Drosophila melanogaster: one gene and its partners. Changing the gene in region 3 together with the main gene of any one other region gives a genetic interaction. Each region holds a gene or a part of one and is shown on either strand. Other genes may lie near its edges.

The links. Genes that interact genetically often act in the same process or in processes that back each other up.
Region 1: of Rbfox1 (region 3) and bru1, changing one enhances a phenotype caused by changing the other (phenotypic enhancement), as found in Drosophila melanogaster (one study listed by BioGRID).
Region 2: of Rbfox1 (region 3) and sens, changing one suppresses a phenotype caused by changing the other (phenotypic suppression), as found in Drosophila melanogaster (one study listed by BioGRID).

What each region holds. Positions count from the first base shown.
Region 1 is NT_033779.5:12,204,165-12,208,854, forward strand, and holds the start of bru1 (bruno 1), read left to right. Parts: upstream 1-1,678; 5' UTR 1,679-1,966; intron 1,967-3,544; exon of another isoform or gene 3,545-4,051; coding exon of another isoform or gene 4,052-4,690. Other genes in the region: CG31759 (uncharacterized protein), read left to right, coding at 4,052-4,690.
Region 2 is NT_037436.4:13,395,716-13,402,672, forward strand, and holds sens (senseless), read right to left. Parts: upstream 5,411-6,957; 5' UTR 5,193-5,410; coding exon 5,033-5,192; intron 4,752-5,032; coding exon 3,670-4,751; intron 1,740-3,669; coding exon 1,589-1,739; intron 1,353-1,588; coding exon 1,120-1,352; 3' UTR 513-1,119; downstream 1-512.
Region 3 is NT_037436.4:10,479,524-10,484,448, reverse strand, and holds the start of Rbfox1 (RNA-binding Fox protein 1), read right to left. Parts: upstream 3,038-4,925; 5' UTR 2,504-3,037; intron 1-2,503.

The DNA of each region.
Region 1 (4,690 bases), on a different chromosome or scaffold from region 3:
AAAAGTTGACGAAGACATTTTGCGCCTATGAAAACAAATACACGAGGAAAGTGCTCCACTAAAAAATAGGAGGGAAATGCGGGAGCAGGAGCCACTTAAGATGCTTAGCGCCATGGCAAGCGAAAATAATGACGCTCATAAAAACTAACTAAACACCAAAATAAAGCAAATATATATAGGTATATATATATATACATATATTTGTTGGGCTGGCTTTTTTAAGCTGGAACGACGCTCTCTGAATGACAACGATAATGATGTGCGATAATGTTTGTTGTTTCTTCGTTTGCTTATTTATTGTACTTATTCGTTTATTGTACTTTTTCATCCCACAGTGCTGGAAACAATGATAATGATAATAATGAAGATGTTATTGTGTTTCTCCTCTTTGTTGTTGTGCAATCTAAGACAACTGTCAAAGACTTTGCCAAAGGATTAGTCGACTCGGCGCCTTTCGCCCTGCTATACCCTGTAAAAGTTGCGCTAAGGATATATTACACATGGAGTAATTTGGATCAAATATGGGTTACCAATTTTTTTTTTTAATTTTTAATTTTTTTTAATATCATGTTGCATTTACGATAAAGAAATTTGCAACTGAGAGATTTTTTTTTGATTAATGACAAAAGGACATTTCAAGAAAAGCCTTTTTGAAATCGATTTAAAATTTAATTCATTTGTAAATGGTACTATAAAGAAGTTTTAAGTTAGGGATATATTAGGATATTAGGGATATTATCATATTAGGGTTTTGGAAATTGAAATATGAGGAGAAAATATATAATATAATAATATATAAGTAACATAATCTTTATAAAATTTGTTAACGTTTATAGTAGTATTTATTTTGGAAATTTTAAATCTACAACCATATAGCAATGATTTCAAACAATTCATGTAAATATTCTTCGAAATATTCATGCAAATTTGAAAGAAAGACTCCATGTAATCATCAAAAAGTAGCTTCCTACATTTTCTATAAACAACACAATAAGATACGGGGTATTCTCGCAGTCGCAACGAGTTTGTGTATCTCGTGACTGGTGTCTTTGCTCCTTGCCATTACTTTCGACCTGCTCCTATCGCAGTCGTAATTAAAATTGCACCAGACGTAGTGAAGTTTTGTACTTTCTTCGGCATCAGATAGTCCTGGAAGCCTCCCCTTCAATTTAATCGCTTTGACTGCATGCTGGTTGTAATTTATTTATTGCCGAAAATCGTACCCTCTACTCTTGATTTGCCCCTGCCGCCGCTCGTTGTATTTTTTAATTGATTAGAAACTCGAGTTTTGTTTTCTTTCTTTGCCTTCAATTGGCATCGAGCCAGGAAATTTTCAGCCTCATTGAATTTCTTTCGGTTTTTTTTCCACTCACCCTCTTGACTTTCTTTCTCGACTCGCCAATTTTAGCAAATTACTTTCTTGGCAAAACTTTTATATTTGTTGATTCATTTATTGCTAATGTCAAACGTTCGACTTGGTGAGCTGAACGACTGATATGAATCAGTGATAGCAATCAATTATGGTATCCAATTCATTTGCTTTTTTTTAAATTTAATTTAGTTTTATTTTAGCAAAGTTCATAAAAAATAAAAAATGAACAGCGAGAGCTTTGCATCCCAGTTGGCTGCGCTAACGCTTGTCAAATCGATTCAATATAGATTTTTAGTTGTAGTGTTTCCAAATCAGATTGTGTAACGTACATATAATTTTATAAAAGTTTATCAATTTTTCGGCTTATTGGTGGCAAAATTCTCAATGTGTTAACCTTTCGGCCGTACCGCGTCACTCTTCCATGCTTTTATCAATAATTCTTAAGAAGAAAATCTACAAAAAAATATACAAAGTATTTACCCCCACAAGACTACAAATGAAATAGCCCAGTTATCCGCTTTCGGCTACAAATTCTACAAGTGTAAAAAGGAAAATAAGAAGAAATATAGCAAATTCCCGCAGCAAGTGAAATAGGTGAGTGCAAGAAAGTTCTTCAAGTGTTCAGACCAAAAGCGGATATTCTAGTTGTCCTTGAGTGTGAATGGAAAGTGGGTTGGTGTGCTGTGAACTCGTCCTGTGTGCTGTGTGTGTGTGAGTGGGTGTGTGCGACACGGTGCTTGGGCTTCCACGCTGCATGACAGATTATCGCAAGGACCTTGCCGTCCTTTGAGTGTCCTCGACGGTTATTGAAATTGCTGCAATTGAGTTCGGAGTGCTCGAAGCTATTTAATTGCTGCCGCCTGCCTCCAAGAACTTGCTTTTCACCACTTCTGTCGAAGATGAGCTAACTATTTTGCTGATTTTTGGTGGATTTTAATCTTTATATCTCAGAAATATACTATCGAATATAATCATCTATACTTAATTTCAATATAAATGCTGGTAAATTTTTGAAAAGTGTATATAATATTGCTTAAAAAATGTTCAATATGTAAAACTCTTAAATGACTTATAGTTAGTTTCTAGTCCTTGTTCCATCCACTGTGTCTAATCGAAGCTTTTTGGCCATCTCTGGTTCGGGTCAATAGGAAAGGAGTAGGGAACAGAAGGAGCAGCTAAAAGTCCTCTTCTTTTTCCCGCAGGTGTTGTAAGCCAGCAACGAGTCCTGGAACTGAGCCAAAGCTGCTTTCTCTCAAGTGCTAACTAATTTCGTTGTTGTCCTTACCGCCTCTGCTCCACATCTCGGGCCCAAGGATGCTCTCTGCATCCTCGGGCTTAGCCTCATTCCCTGGCTCATCCTCATCATCGGCGTCTTCCTGCAGTTTCGTTTTTGGTGTCAGCAACATTTCTTCAACTGGTTTCGTTTGCCCTGCCAGTCAGGTTGTTGTCCTTTTTGGTCCTCTGTGTCCTTTATAGAGTTCTATGCGATTTTTCTCTTGTTTTTGATTTTTATTTTTTCATTTGCTCCTTCGTAGTGCAATCTTTTTGGCAAACTCTTGTGTGGCGCACAGTTGTTGACTCTGTTTCGGGGCCAAGCCAATTCCTTTTTGGCCTGGCCAAGTCATCTCTTGGCTTGTTTCGGCGTTTTATGCACTTGTGTGCTCCATACCTTTGGTCCACCCCTTTGCCAAATACGCTCTACACATATGATCTGGCTTCTGTTTCGAATTTTTATGGCCGTCGTCTCAGTTGTCCTTTCTTAACTTGGCCGAAAGTTGAGTTTCCTTCGTTGGGGCAAGATGTCTCATTTGGATCGTAACACTTAGCTTAATGTTTACGACGTTTGCCGTGAAAATAGTTTTCAACTGAAGTGAAATAGGAGGTTTTATAGTTTTGTTCGGGTGTATATTTTGCGAATAATAATGTTCCTCCTAATGACCACAAAAAAGGAATAAACGTTTCCTATATAGAAATTTTTTTTCTATTTCATAGAAAAAATCTTCTATTCTTCGATATGTTCAATTTCAGATCATAGCAACTCTTCATATATTTATCAGCTTTATAATTTTATGAAAAAAAGTAATATTTAAGTGAAATCTTTTTGCTTTCAAGATTTGAAATTAAATAAAGCTTTTATTAAAAGCTTTTGCGTCAAAGCTTCAACGTTGCTAATGGCAGAAGCTCTCTCAAGATCAGCTGTTTCTCAATGCCGAGCATGTGGTTGGTTTCGTTGTGAATGCCAAAAACAACAGCTGATCGCGCGGCGTGGCAGAGCGAAAAAGTAAAAATCTCTCTTCGTTTTTATCGAAATCGGCGCAGTTTCGCCTAATTTCTGCGGTGTTTTCGTGCAACACGACTGTTTGCCGATTGTAAATAGGTGTAAAACAACTTAAATGTGATTAATTTTGCAACTAAATCTGGACAAGTGAGTTGTTACGACATCGGTGCACCAAGTAAAGTTGTCTAACCCAAAATTTTCCCAGATAAAACGGCGAAAAACAAGTCAACTAAGAGAAGTTCTCTTCTTCAACGCCGATCTTCGCTCCAACATTTGCAACATTGATGGGGTTTTTTTTGTTTAAAAACATAGTTCGCAATTCTGATAAATTATTCGGAAATAAAACTCCAACTAGAGTTTCGCTATTGTCCAGATTTTGTGGCACTTCCTTGGCTGGTAAAATGGAGAAGGTTTATTTGAGAAATGCAAGTGATACCAAAGAATTGGACATTGTGTTTCGCTTTGTGAATGAGAATTTGAAAATAAACCGGGAATTCAATTTCCGTCGCCAGATGAATGAGCCCATTGATGCGATATTGGCCAGGATTCAGAGTAATATTATTGGCAGGCTTGCAAAGTCCTGCAAAAAATCAAAAATCAAACCGCCGGCAGAAATCAATGTTAAACTTCTGAGTGACAAATATGGTGAAAAATTCAATGAATTAACATTTGAGGATCTAGTCGTCACCCAAGATATCAGCAATGTAAAACTGCAGGTATTAGATACGGTCTACGATTTGGTGTTCAATCCACCGTGGATTTCATCCCTAAAATTTTTGCCCTCATGCATATTGGCAGGATTTGTAATATACCCCACCAATGTTCAGATACAATTCGGAGAACGTCAGTTCAGCAAAGCAGTTTGGTTCAAGGCCAAAAAGCCCACAGACACCGATTGGGAGGTGTGCGGAGAAGGATTTCAATATCTAGTGACTCCTGAGGATATTGGTTACCATTTGAAGTTCGTGGTGACGCCGGGTAATGCACTGGGAATGACGGGTCCTGTGGTGGAGAAGATAACCAACTCTGCAGTGCAGGAA
Region 2 (6,957 bases), 2.9 Mb from region 3:
CGAACACTTATTGGCGTTTTCCCCAAGGATCGGGCATGCAAGTGGGCCGAGGGGGATGTGTACCTGCTGTAACGCGGCGACTTACAAAGGGCATTCCCCAAATGCCACATTGGGCACAGATCAAAGATCACCGCGTCACCCGAAACAGGAGCAACTTATTCCCCATCAATTGAGTACGTGCAGAAATTCATCTATAAAATCAGGTTTACGAACAGGCCCCCGAAAAAATATTTGGAGCGCTTTGGACAATTTGTATCAAAATGTGGTACTTCAAAGGAGGAGGCTGTGTCCTTGATACTAAGGAATTTCTCAGCTGCTCAAGGGGTTGATCGTAATAATGAGATATTTAACCCACCCGATGTAAAAACTTTTTGAATTAATAATACATACCAAAAATATATACATATGTATTAATCATATCATGTGTATTTTCTGATATGCCTGAGGATTTTGTATAAAGGAATCAATCAATCATTCTAGATATTTTATCCTTAAAAAAACCCATATATTTTGTTTGTTCTCTTTTAGCTTTCAACTTTATTTTCCAAAAATCATATACGCTCCTAATAAATATAATTACAATAAGTCATTGGGCTTATTACAAAATAAGAATAAACTAAAAATTCGCATAGATCGTATAAATAAATGTGGGTGATGCCATCAATAAACTTAAATAAATTAGGAAACTAAATTTAGACAAGTGGTCGCCAAGTGGTAGTTCATTTGTTTGAGGTTGTTCTTTGGTACGTTTAGCTGCCAATTTTGGGTTAAGTTTGAATCAAATCAAAAACGCTTTATGCAATAAATTAGATTAATCATTAAGCTAGGGTTTAACGGCTATAAAAAAGAGTCTTGTTTGGGATAACTATGTACAGACTTAAGGCAGTATCTTAGCTAATATGTTTTAACAATAATTCTTACGATTAGGTAAATCTTTGCGAAGGCCTAAACAAAACAAACTTTGGCTTCATAGCAACGACTTAGACTTAGGGCCAACTGTGATCTGCTCCACCTTCATCATCATCATCATCATCATCATCATCTGGTTTTGAGTGTGTGTCTCGTCCTGCTTAGCTAATACTGGGATCTCCTGGATCAGAGATTGCCGCCTAGCCTCGGTCAGCAGCTGCTGCTGCTCACCTCCATCTTCAGGGGCTTCAGGTCCTCCACTGGCGGAGCCTCCTCATGGCGGCTCTCTCGATGACGTCGCAGATCCACCTTGCGCTGGAAGGACTGATCGCAAAGGTGGCAACCGAAGGGTTTATACCCCGTGTGCTTCCTCATATGCGTGATCAGGTTGGAGCTCTGGCTGAAGGCCTTCAGGCACACGGTGCACTTGTGTGGCTTCTCGCCTGGAATCGCAGGAAAATCAATAAACACAATTAGTTAAATGCCGCTTCAAAGTTTATTAATTGTGGCCGAGAGGCGGCGGCAGCTTTACAGCAATTAGACAAATTGAAAGGCGATAGGGATCTGTGTGTGTGCTCAAGGGTGGCTCTGTTTGCACCACGTTCTGACACATTTGCCGAGGAATAGTTGGATACTCTCCCCATGGACTAGCTTTGATTTCACCGAATATTCAACTTACCGGTATGTATGTACGTGTGCTTTTTCATGTCCGACTTTTGGTGGAACCGCTTGCCACAATATTGGCAGGGATATGGCCGTGTATCGCTGTGGATGAGCAGATGTGTGGACAGGGTGGACGAACGCTTGAAGCTCTTGCCACACTGTTTGCACTAAAAAGAAAGACATAGACAATAGAAAAATACATTATTAACACCACATTCAGACAGAACGAGTCATGATTATTGGAACTCAGAATACCCCATATTTGCACAGCTTGAGCATATTCACACCAAAAAGCCAAATAATCAAAAAATCAGAAAAGAATTTATATATAAATTCACCGTTTTTGTGTGCCTGAGCCAAATTCGCAGTGGCAACATGAATTAAACTAGATTTGTGAGTGCTCAAATATTTGTTAGACAAGTGACGACAAGGGAAAACCCAAACCAAGCCAAACTTGGTTAGCCCACATCCAGGCGACAAATAATCTAGAACCTTAGCCATTTCTCAGCGCTGAAACCAGCTAGGTAAATATCTCGGCCCAATGCTAAATCTCAAGTGAGACACTTTCCAGGGAGCTTTAGCCATGCATATATGTACATACATTGTATATACCGCAGTATTTGTGGGCCAAACACAGCTGGGATCCACGGGGAATCGATCGCGGGGATTGGACGAATCCAGTGGCTGTAACATCTTCGGTTGTCAGATTAAATGTTTGAACAGTTTGCCAGTTGCAGCAACGTTGCAAGTAACCAAACATTGACATAACACAACTCAAATCGTCGGCCTACGTGGGCGACATTTATATTAAACACGAAAACATGAAAACAACGAAAAGTAAAACACAGAAATGGGTGAAAAAAATGTGAGACAATTTTTTTTTTGAAAAACCCGCATGGTCTACGCGTAATTGTAAATTGACACAAGTGTCGGTTTTTTAAAATTTCTTTCTTATTGATTTTTATGTTCTCTTATTTTTTTATTTTTTACGTTTTTTTTTAGCCTTGTTTTTGGGATTTTCTATTTGCGCATTGCATTCGCGTGGACCATATCCACTACACACATTGGCTAGACTCAGACCCAATTAGTTGCTCTATTGTTAAGCTGCGCTCAACTGCCTGAGCCATAATGTCAATTTGCTTAGCTCTGACAACGGAACGGAAGTTGGCAAAGCTCGAAAGGCAAAAAAAAAAAGAAAAAACGAGCAGGGAAACAAAAAAAGAGTTAAGGAGAAACCCCAAAGTCTGAGTCAGCCGGGTGGGCCTCCAATGGTGAACAGATGTAAAGCACGAATTACAGAAAAAATTCGATTTTATACATAAACAGCTGAAGAACAGTGACTGCGCCTGCGCAAAGGACTCTGGCAACTGTCTTCGTCGGCTTTTTGACCATATGTCGGTCCGGTACTGAAGCCCGAAAACCTATCGCATTTCACTCTGACCCTTTAATGTGTGAAAAAAAAACTGGAAAAAGATGTTAAAAAAAAAAAAAATAAGGACTCGCGGCGGGTGTTGATGGATATAAACGCAATATGACATCGGGGTAGGCATAAGGCCTATTAGGGTAAGTCGTCTCAAATTCCTGAGGGTCGTGTGCCCTCTTACCTTTTGCACAATCCAATATCGAATTATTATGATTGTAATTTGTACATAAATCTTCGAGGGCGAGTTATGCCCCCCACCGCACTGGCGCTAATCAAAATTATTTGATTAACTAATTGCGTGATTTCGATGGGACTTAATTGAATTTCCATAGAGCTCTATCGGTTTGGCTTGTATTACCAACTTTATGACAGTATTTGCTGTGCCACTTTTCCAAATTGAAAGTGGTATTGGTGGGGTTTTCGGCTCGGCGACAATTAAAACCCGCACGGACAAAATATGAAACAATTAACACAGGGGAATTGTCGAGGACACGCAACCTTATGCAATGATACGAACAGTATTCGTTTTGGGTTATAGATCATGGTCCTTCAGGACACGTGATAAGCCCATTAAAGCGGGCTGGGGGCTCAGAGATTTTCAAGCGATTTGCCCTCGATTTCCTCTTCATATTTCCCTACCCCTCGACGCGTTTATCCTGTTTGAGTTTGCTTACCTGGAAATTCCTGCCGCTGCGCTTCTCTTCGTTTTCTCCTTGGTAAGATGACGAGGAGGACGAACGACGCGCAACATCTGTGGCCGTCGAGTCAGGATGTTGCTGCTGATGCTGATGTTGCTGCGGCTGCTGCTGGTGATGCAACTGTTGTTGCTGCTGCTGCTGCGGCTGTTGGTGTTGATTACGCATGTAGCCGAATTCGGCGGCTGCCACCAAATTCATGAGTGCCGCTGCCGAGCGGTTATCCTGCTGCTGCTCGTCCTTGATGCGATGCTGTTGCTGCTGCTGCTGCGGCTGCTCGCTCTTCAGCTTCAAGTGCTGGGTGAGCAGCTCCAGATTGTTGCCCGTCAATCCGGCCATGAATGCGCTGCGATGGGCATACAACTGCTGTTGGGCCACCTCGAACTCCAGATCCTGGACGGCATTCGAGGCGGGAGCGGACAGCGAGGAGATCGGCGATTGCAGCGAGGATATGGATGCAGTTCTGCGCTCATACTTGAACTTTCGCACAATAGGATCCACCTGGTGCTCCTCCTCATCGCCCTGCTCCTCCATCTTCAGGCCGTACTGCTCCCTTCTCGCCGATCTCTCGCACATCGAGGCCGGTGACCAGATGATGTTACCCTGCGATCTCTGGCGCTGTTGCTGTGGTGTACTCGAACTCTTTAGATTCACAGCGCTCAGGGGAGGCGGGGTAACGTTCAGCGAGGTCATCGGATGCAGTTGCTCCACTTCACTGCTGGAACTGCTCCTGCTGCTGTTGTTGCTGCTGCTGTGATACTGATCTCGGTTGGAATCATCCGATGTGATGCGCTCCTTGGTGCTTAGATTTAGTGGCATATCCTCATCCTGCTCCTGATAGTCCTGCTTGCTGTTCTCATTGTTATTGTTCATTTGGAGTTCATGCTCCTTTTCGGGCGTCAAGGCAAAGTCACGATCCCGCTGACCCAAAACCACAGAGGCGGGCGATTTGGGGGTCATGGGGGTCAGTGGTGTACCCAGAGCCGTGGCCGAGGACAACAAAAATTGGGGCCACAGTAGGGCACTCGAGTAGAGCAGCGGGTTGTACAAAAAGGGCAGATCTATGAAATGCAAATTTAACGAATCAGTTGAATAGTAGTGATTAAGATTAGGAAGGAAAAGTATCCTCAGGATGCCTATCAATATAAAGTTACTCTTGTATTGGTAAGAACTACAGTAAAGTTAACATAATTTTTCTGATCTGTTGAAAGTGTTAACATTTTGATTTTAAATCGAGTGATCTTTTAAATACAATTCGAAACGATTAAAAAGCTATAAGCTAATCTTTTTGCTATCTTTACTGCCCCATATATTTTTCTGTCAATCCAGATCGGGAACTCACCTCGACCATTGAGTTTCTGTGCTGCGGCGGAGGCTATCACAGTGTTGAAGGCGGATGCCCGCTGCATCCACTGCTTGTCCAGAGCTGCTCCATGGCAGCCCAATCCCGCGGGACTCGGCTGCTGGGAGTGCGGCGATGGCGGCGGCGATAGGTGATTCATTTTGATTCTGGATCTTTACTTTTTGGAATCTCACTGGATCTGATTTACGTATTTGCTTTAACAGTCTTTGGATTGTGATTTTTCTCAATACTGTTCACTGCACAAATCTCACTTTCTTGGCGTTGTGATCTTGGATTCGAACGGATCTTCGATGGGTCTTATTCAGTGCGGTTTTATCTTGACTCACTGGAGACGAACACGTCCGTATCGCTCGGTGCTTCGCACCTGACTGAATCTTTGGTCGATGGCTCAGTTCTAAATTGAGCCAACGGTGAAGCGACTTGGCCCGAAAAAAAGGTACAAATCGAGCTCTCTTTTTTTTATTTTTGTGTGCGACTGTGGTTACTTGTGGCACTGTGTGAGTGCGGCAGCAAGCCGAATCAAAACGAGCCCTCGGTGTATTGGTGTTGACTCTTTTGGTGGTGGCTCTCGAGAGCCCTGCAATGTATTGTTGGTGTTGGTGTTCGTGTTGCCAACTCTGGTTTTTCACCTTTGGCAGCAGTTGGCGGCAGTTGCAGTCCTGTGTTCCATGTTGTATGGGTCAAGACGCACAGTTAGGAGTCCCCTGGCGATCTCGATACCCCAACCCCCTGCGTTCGTATCCTCTTGGCCCATCTACTACTGGTTTTCCAGCACGCGTTTCCCTACTAATTGGTATGCACTTAAAGTTTGGCGGGCGTTTGTTATCCTTTTCCCGCTGCCCTGTAACAGTTACAATTGCCTTTGCTCTTTCTGTTGCTGCCACCAACTGTTGTTGGCTCAGGAATATCGGGATCGGTACTTTGGCCAAGGGAGAAGAAGCGAGAGAGGGCCAGCAATCGGCAGAGGATTTCACTGCTGATCGGTGGAAGGGGGGAGAGGACGAGGGCGGGATGGGGCGGGGTAGCATACAAATATTTAGGTGGATGAATCCAAGGATCTAACATCTGTCGTGGCAACTCTCCATGTTTGTAGATACTGTTTAGATTACCTTTAGATTTGACAAGGATTACAAATGGGTTCCTAATTTTGAATGTGATGAAAATTAATTTTTGTATTAATTATTAAAAATACATTGCGAGTAAAATATAGGAGAAATTAAGTTTAAATTCATTTTTATTTGCGCTTCTCCCAATAAGGGTAAATAGTTTAAAGCAACATCGTGAATTTAATCTTTAAGCTTTAGACTTCATCCATAAAAAGTGTTATTACATTTTAGAGGATTGACGTAAACCTACTTCACAACCAATGCACAAATATATAAACTTTATTTAAATTATTGTAGAATTTTTTTTGTTATATTTCTATATAAAATCTACCTTACCAAAATGACATATTTGATTATAATAATGTTACATTTAAATACATAAGATTAGGACAGATTTTATTTAATAGCTATCAAAATATCAGATTTCCCATTTAAAACCGTTTTAACAAATAGTTTGGTTTGGTTTCAGAACATTAACTTTCAACAAAGTTTTTGTTAAATTTCTCAATGCAAACTTTGCAGTTCGTCGTATTTTCCTAAAGCATTTCAATAAAATTAAAAGACTGAATTCTTTTGTCAGTCAATTTAAAACCAATACCAAACTCTAAGCCATAAAGTCCCCATCTTCTCGTTGGATCGTAGCTATTAAACCACTCAGATAGGACGACTGAGCACCTGCCACTTTCTCCCTCTACCGCTCGATGCACCTTTTTCCGAGCTTATCCTTGATGAGAGTTCGGGGTCCTCCTCCTGAGTTGGTAGCTCGCCACGCTTGGCCACCTCGTCTTGGCCGCCTCA
Region 3 (4,925 bases):
ATGGATGATGCCCGAAAGTGGGGAGCATAATAAGACAAATTATTTGCAAGGATATGAAAAGGGGTTACAAAATGGAAGGAATAAAATACTTTTCATTTCAAATAATAATTAAATAAATCAATATTCAATAATATAAGTATATACTGCTTGGCAATTTCATTTAAAAAGGCTAGTTTCAAAATGAGTTGAGTAATAAAAAAAAGGAAAGCATTAGATCTCTGCATACTGCAATGCACATTTTTGTACATATAAACTGTGACAGAAATACCCACAAATTACATGCTCATAGAATCTCGGAAACATATCGTGCACATAAATTCCTACTCTATTTTATTGAAATTCTGTGAGGAACGTATGTGCAATCTCTTCTCATTTTTTTTCTGTTGAATAAGCATGAAAAATATCATGTTGCATATTGTCCGAAATATAGTTTAGAAGTCTTGTGCAAAAATGCGATGTCGCAAGTAAGCATAAAAAAAAATATCAGGCACAGCACCCATCTGCCACCCAAAAATGTGGATCTGCTCATGTAAATAACTGCAAATGGAGCTGTGGAAAAATATTGTAGTTGACAATAGAGTTTTTCATTGGTTGGCTAAACAAGTCAAGGTTCGGAGTTTTTTAAGTAATTGCTGCTTATACAAATTTACGGTGCAAGTTTTCCCTTTGTTAGACGAGATAAATGGGGGTGGCATATTTACGCCCCATGATTTATGGCGCTCATTTTTCGAGGACATTATAAAAAAATAAAAACTTTTTGGTGGGTCAAAGTGAAGAGAAGTCAAACAAAGATAAGCGAACCAAACTTTGATTTTGTGTGCCATTTGTTTATTGTTCTCAATTGTTGTTACATTTTGACTGCGACACAGGTGGTATATTTGATCGTTTTCATGTCCTTATATTTTCAAAAGGGCCATTTTGAGCTACTTTTGTAGCGTTGATAAATGAGAGCCATCTTCACATGTCACGAAAGTTTTAAGTTTTTTAAAACTTTTTAGTATTAAAATCCCCTATTTTTCTAAGCCCGATATATACAATAGGTATCCTTTTTTGCGAACCAACGTTGATATTTTCAAAGACATCCTTGTTGCATAAACAGGACCGTGGACCGTGAAGTATTTAGCATACAACCAAAATGTGGAGTCTCATTTTTCGCTCGCATATTTTCGCCCACAGCTTTTATCCTGCAGATGACGGAAGTCTCAAAGTGACAGACAATTTTAGCCTTAACAAGAATAACAGCAGCACGCTGAAGTGATGGAAACTCTAGCCACATGTGCGCAAATATTTTTTCCTGCTTCTGGCTTCTACCGTCAGTGCCTTCCAGCCTCAGTCAGCATAATAATGAATTACATACGGTGGAGATTCTTGTGCCGGGAATCCGGCAATCCTAGCCGTCATCAACATCGGGCAACAACTACCTATGGAAACAGTCTGAGCCACTCGCTTAGCTTCCTTGCCACGCTTTGTTGGCTGCAGCAATTTTACAATTGACTGTTTCTGCTGTTTCTAAATGGGGGAAACTCCCCGTTTTGCAGTGGAAACCCCCTTTGTTTAACGGGGAAACGGGATGGCGAAATGGGTGAGTTTGTAAAACGCTTGACTTGTTTTACGCATTATTTACTTAGTTGGGATGCTAGCTACCTCTTGCTCCACATGTACATGCACGTGTTTGTATAAGCTCACGCAGGAAAAACTGTTGTCACAACTTCGATTTTGTTATTTAAAGTAAAGTTTAAAGTTATTTAAAGTAAAGGCTCAAAGTCACTAAAAAGAAGTCTTAAATTAAGCAATAGAAAATATAAGCATACATTTTGGCTTAAAAACTATAACTATCGATGCAGAACCCATTTCTCTCAGTGTTGCTGTGCGTGTATACCCTTTTAGTTGTCTTTGTGCGTCCATTCCGTGGGGGATAGGGGCGTGGCAAATGAACTAGTATAAAAGTAAGTTTGCGGCAAGCAGCAAAACGTTTGGTTACAATTAATTTCGTACTCTGCGCTGGGTAATAAGGGGATATATGCACAGATACAGGGTATGTGAGTGCCATAAAAGGGGGGAGATTGTGATGCCCGGTGGGGGGGGGGGTGGCCCCTTAATGTGAGCAATTTGAAATGAAAATCGGCCCCGGAGTCCTGTTGCTGTAAAAGTATTTTTGCGGGCATTTCTACCATTATTTGCATCTCCAGCTGAAAATAAATGAAGGGTAAACGCAAATCGAAATTCCCTGCCAGACCATCAACAATGGAAGTCGGGCAAATAACAAATGGAAAAATTACACGAATATCAAATCAAAATTATCTTTACGTAGCGGGAGATGTTTTAATGCGGGACATAAAGCAAAAATGGGCAATAAAAATGTTTTAAATGCGTTTGGGAAATGGGCAAATTCTCAAGATATCTCAGCGGAAGACTAGTCCAATAAAAGCTGTTCAAATGGGTAACTTAATGTGCTAAATGGGATACATTTTTATTTCTGTGATATTTAATAGCTAAGGCTTACTTGATCGACGTGCTCTTGTGAATCGTGAAAAAAGAATCCGTTTGCTGTCCGAATTACTTGTGGTAAACACACGAAACAAACACACGTTTTTGTGTTTTCTTTTTTTTTTTGCTTTTGGCACTAGATGCTAAATGACAGGCGGCTTATGCAACATTTATTTGATATTGTATTAAATATTTAACGCACGACACGACAAAACACTTTTGCCTCATTAATCTAACGCACACAAGAGCAGCGGGCAGAATGAGGAAAAGCTGCTAATTGAAGCCGGCAGCACAACGAAATACACAGTGCACACACAAAAAGCACACACAATCACAAAGGGACACTAAGCCTTTAGTCGTTGATTGATACGGATAGCCCAAGGAATTTGAGGTTTTTCCCACTGCGGGTAATGGGACTTGGGGTGGTTTTGAAAAATTTGTGACGTTTTTCCTGTTAACACGAGAATTTTACGCGACTTGCCAATGCGCGAGGCGAAAGCGATGAGCAAAATGTTTTCCGTCCTCACGTGAGCACTTGCAATGGGAGACTGAAATTTTGCGCAAAAGAGCCTGTAAGTATGCAGCAGCCTTTGCCGTATAACACTACAGTCAGTATAACAGTTTGATGCTTACTTGAGGGATGAGAAAAATGTATATTTTTGGTGAAAGAGCTCTTTAATGCCACCTGATAAAAGGTAACATTAAATTTGGTTTAATGCACAACGACCTACGGCATCATCAGCATAAACTTGGCCAACTATTTAACCACAAAAAATAAGCAGAAAAACAGAATAAATCTTATAAACATATGTGTTCAAGGCAGAAAACCATTTCCGCCAAATTGCCCAAGCCTAGTCGCACAATTTATTTTTATTTGAACCCCGAGAAGTTTATGGTTTCTTCTTTCCCCCGCCAAAATGCTGATTATTATGATTATTTACTCAGCCTATTTGTGTGTGGGCGTTTGGTTACATAATTAGGCCATTAAGTATAAGTGCCCAAGTCTCTGATTTCCACATTTCCACGGCCCAGCATCACAAATCGATCAGGCTGGCAAACAAATTCCGTTCGACAAAGAGAGGCAATTTTAAATGGAAACAGAAGGCTATAAGGAAAACGTATTTTCAGCAGCAACTTTTCTTTGGCGGAAAACGTAATTGAATTTTTATTGACATTCTAGCGGAAGTGGAGGTGAGGACAGCTGTCACTTGAGCGACGAAGTTGCCTGGAAATAAAGCGCAACTATTTTGTAGAAAATGACCAGGACAGTAAAGTGGAAGGACGAAAATCGGGAACGAAGAACGAAAGCAAAACCAAAAATCTAAAGAAATCAAAAGAAAAATATAAATTTCGGAAAATTAATTCCGTTTTTTAAGGCCGCTTTAAAAGGGGATTGAGCAAGGGATTGCCAAGAATAACCTAATTAGGGTTGACTTAAGGCAACCGATGGAAAATTTTCCGCAGATTAAGCTCGAAGAAAAAGCCCAACGAAAATATTTAAAAATAACAATTTAAAATTCAGCAGGAGAGAAAGAGAAAATGGAAAAGGGTTGATTTACATGAAAATTGTATTGAGTACTTTTTAAGACTTTTTTTTTGTAGTCATTTTTGTAAATTTGTTTACTTATACTTTGTAGATATTATGGCTTTACAAATGGCATTCAAACATTGTAATCCATTCTTAATGGCAAATAGATAAGTTTATAATTACAGATATAATTGCTTTTCTATATGGCGATCCAGTCCAAGTCCGCTTACCAATTAAAGTTCGACGTAGCCATTTGTCATGACTATCTGCATCATAATATGCCACTATTATCATTTACAGCCACCCGTTTTTGTCCAATCGCTTTTCTCATTACCAGGAGACACCCTCGTCTCTGGCCGGTCATTAAATTATTTTATATGGCACATTAAAAGTGAGCATAAACACACAAACTCTCACTGGCCCTTACTTTCTCTACTATACGAGTGTGTGTGTGTGTGTAGAGTAAGTGAAATGCATTTGCAGTGGGGGGGTGTGGTCATAAGCCAAAGGCTTATGTGGAAAAGTAAGAGAAAGGGGAGCGGCGTCTGTCCGAGTGGCATTTCCATCTGCGGCAGGTTCTATTTGCTATTATTATCATAGTCGGAGTGCTTGGGCGGTTATTATTGTTACCACTGAGTCTGCTCGTCGGCTTCTAAGCAATTATTTAAAGCACCGCAAGGACGGGAGAAATGCAGGGACAACTCTCCCTTTCTCTGTCCGCGGGGAAATGAAGGCAATGTCCAGTGTTGGCTGCAGAGATTTCAATTTAAAAACGAGGCCAAACTGCTGGGCGAAAAGCCAAGGGGGGGGGGGGCTTCGCACACGTGTGACCATACTTTTTTATGCCAGCACAGCAGGTTCTTCAAGCACTGTTTTAAATTACATAAATAAATTCTATTTTTAAACTAGC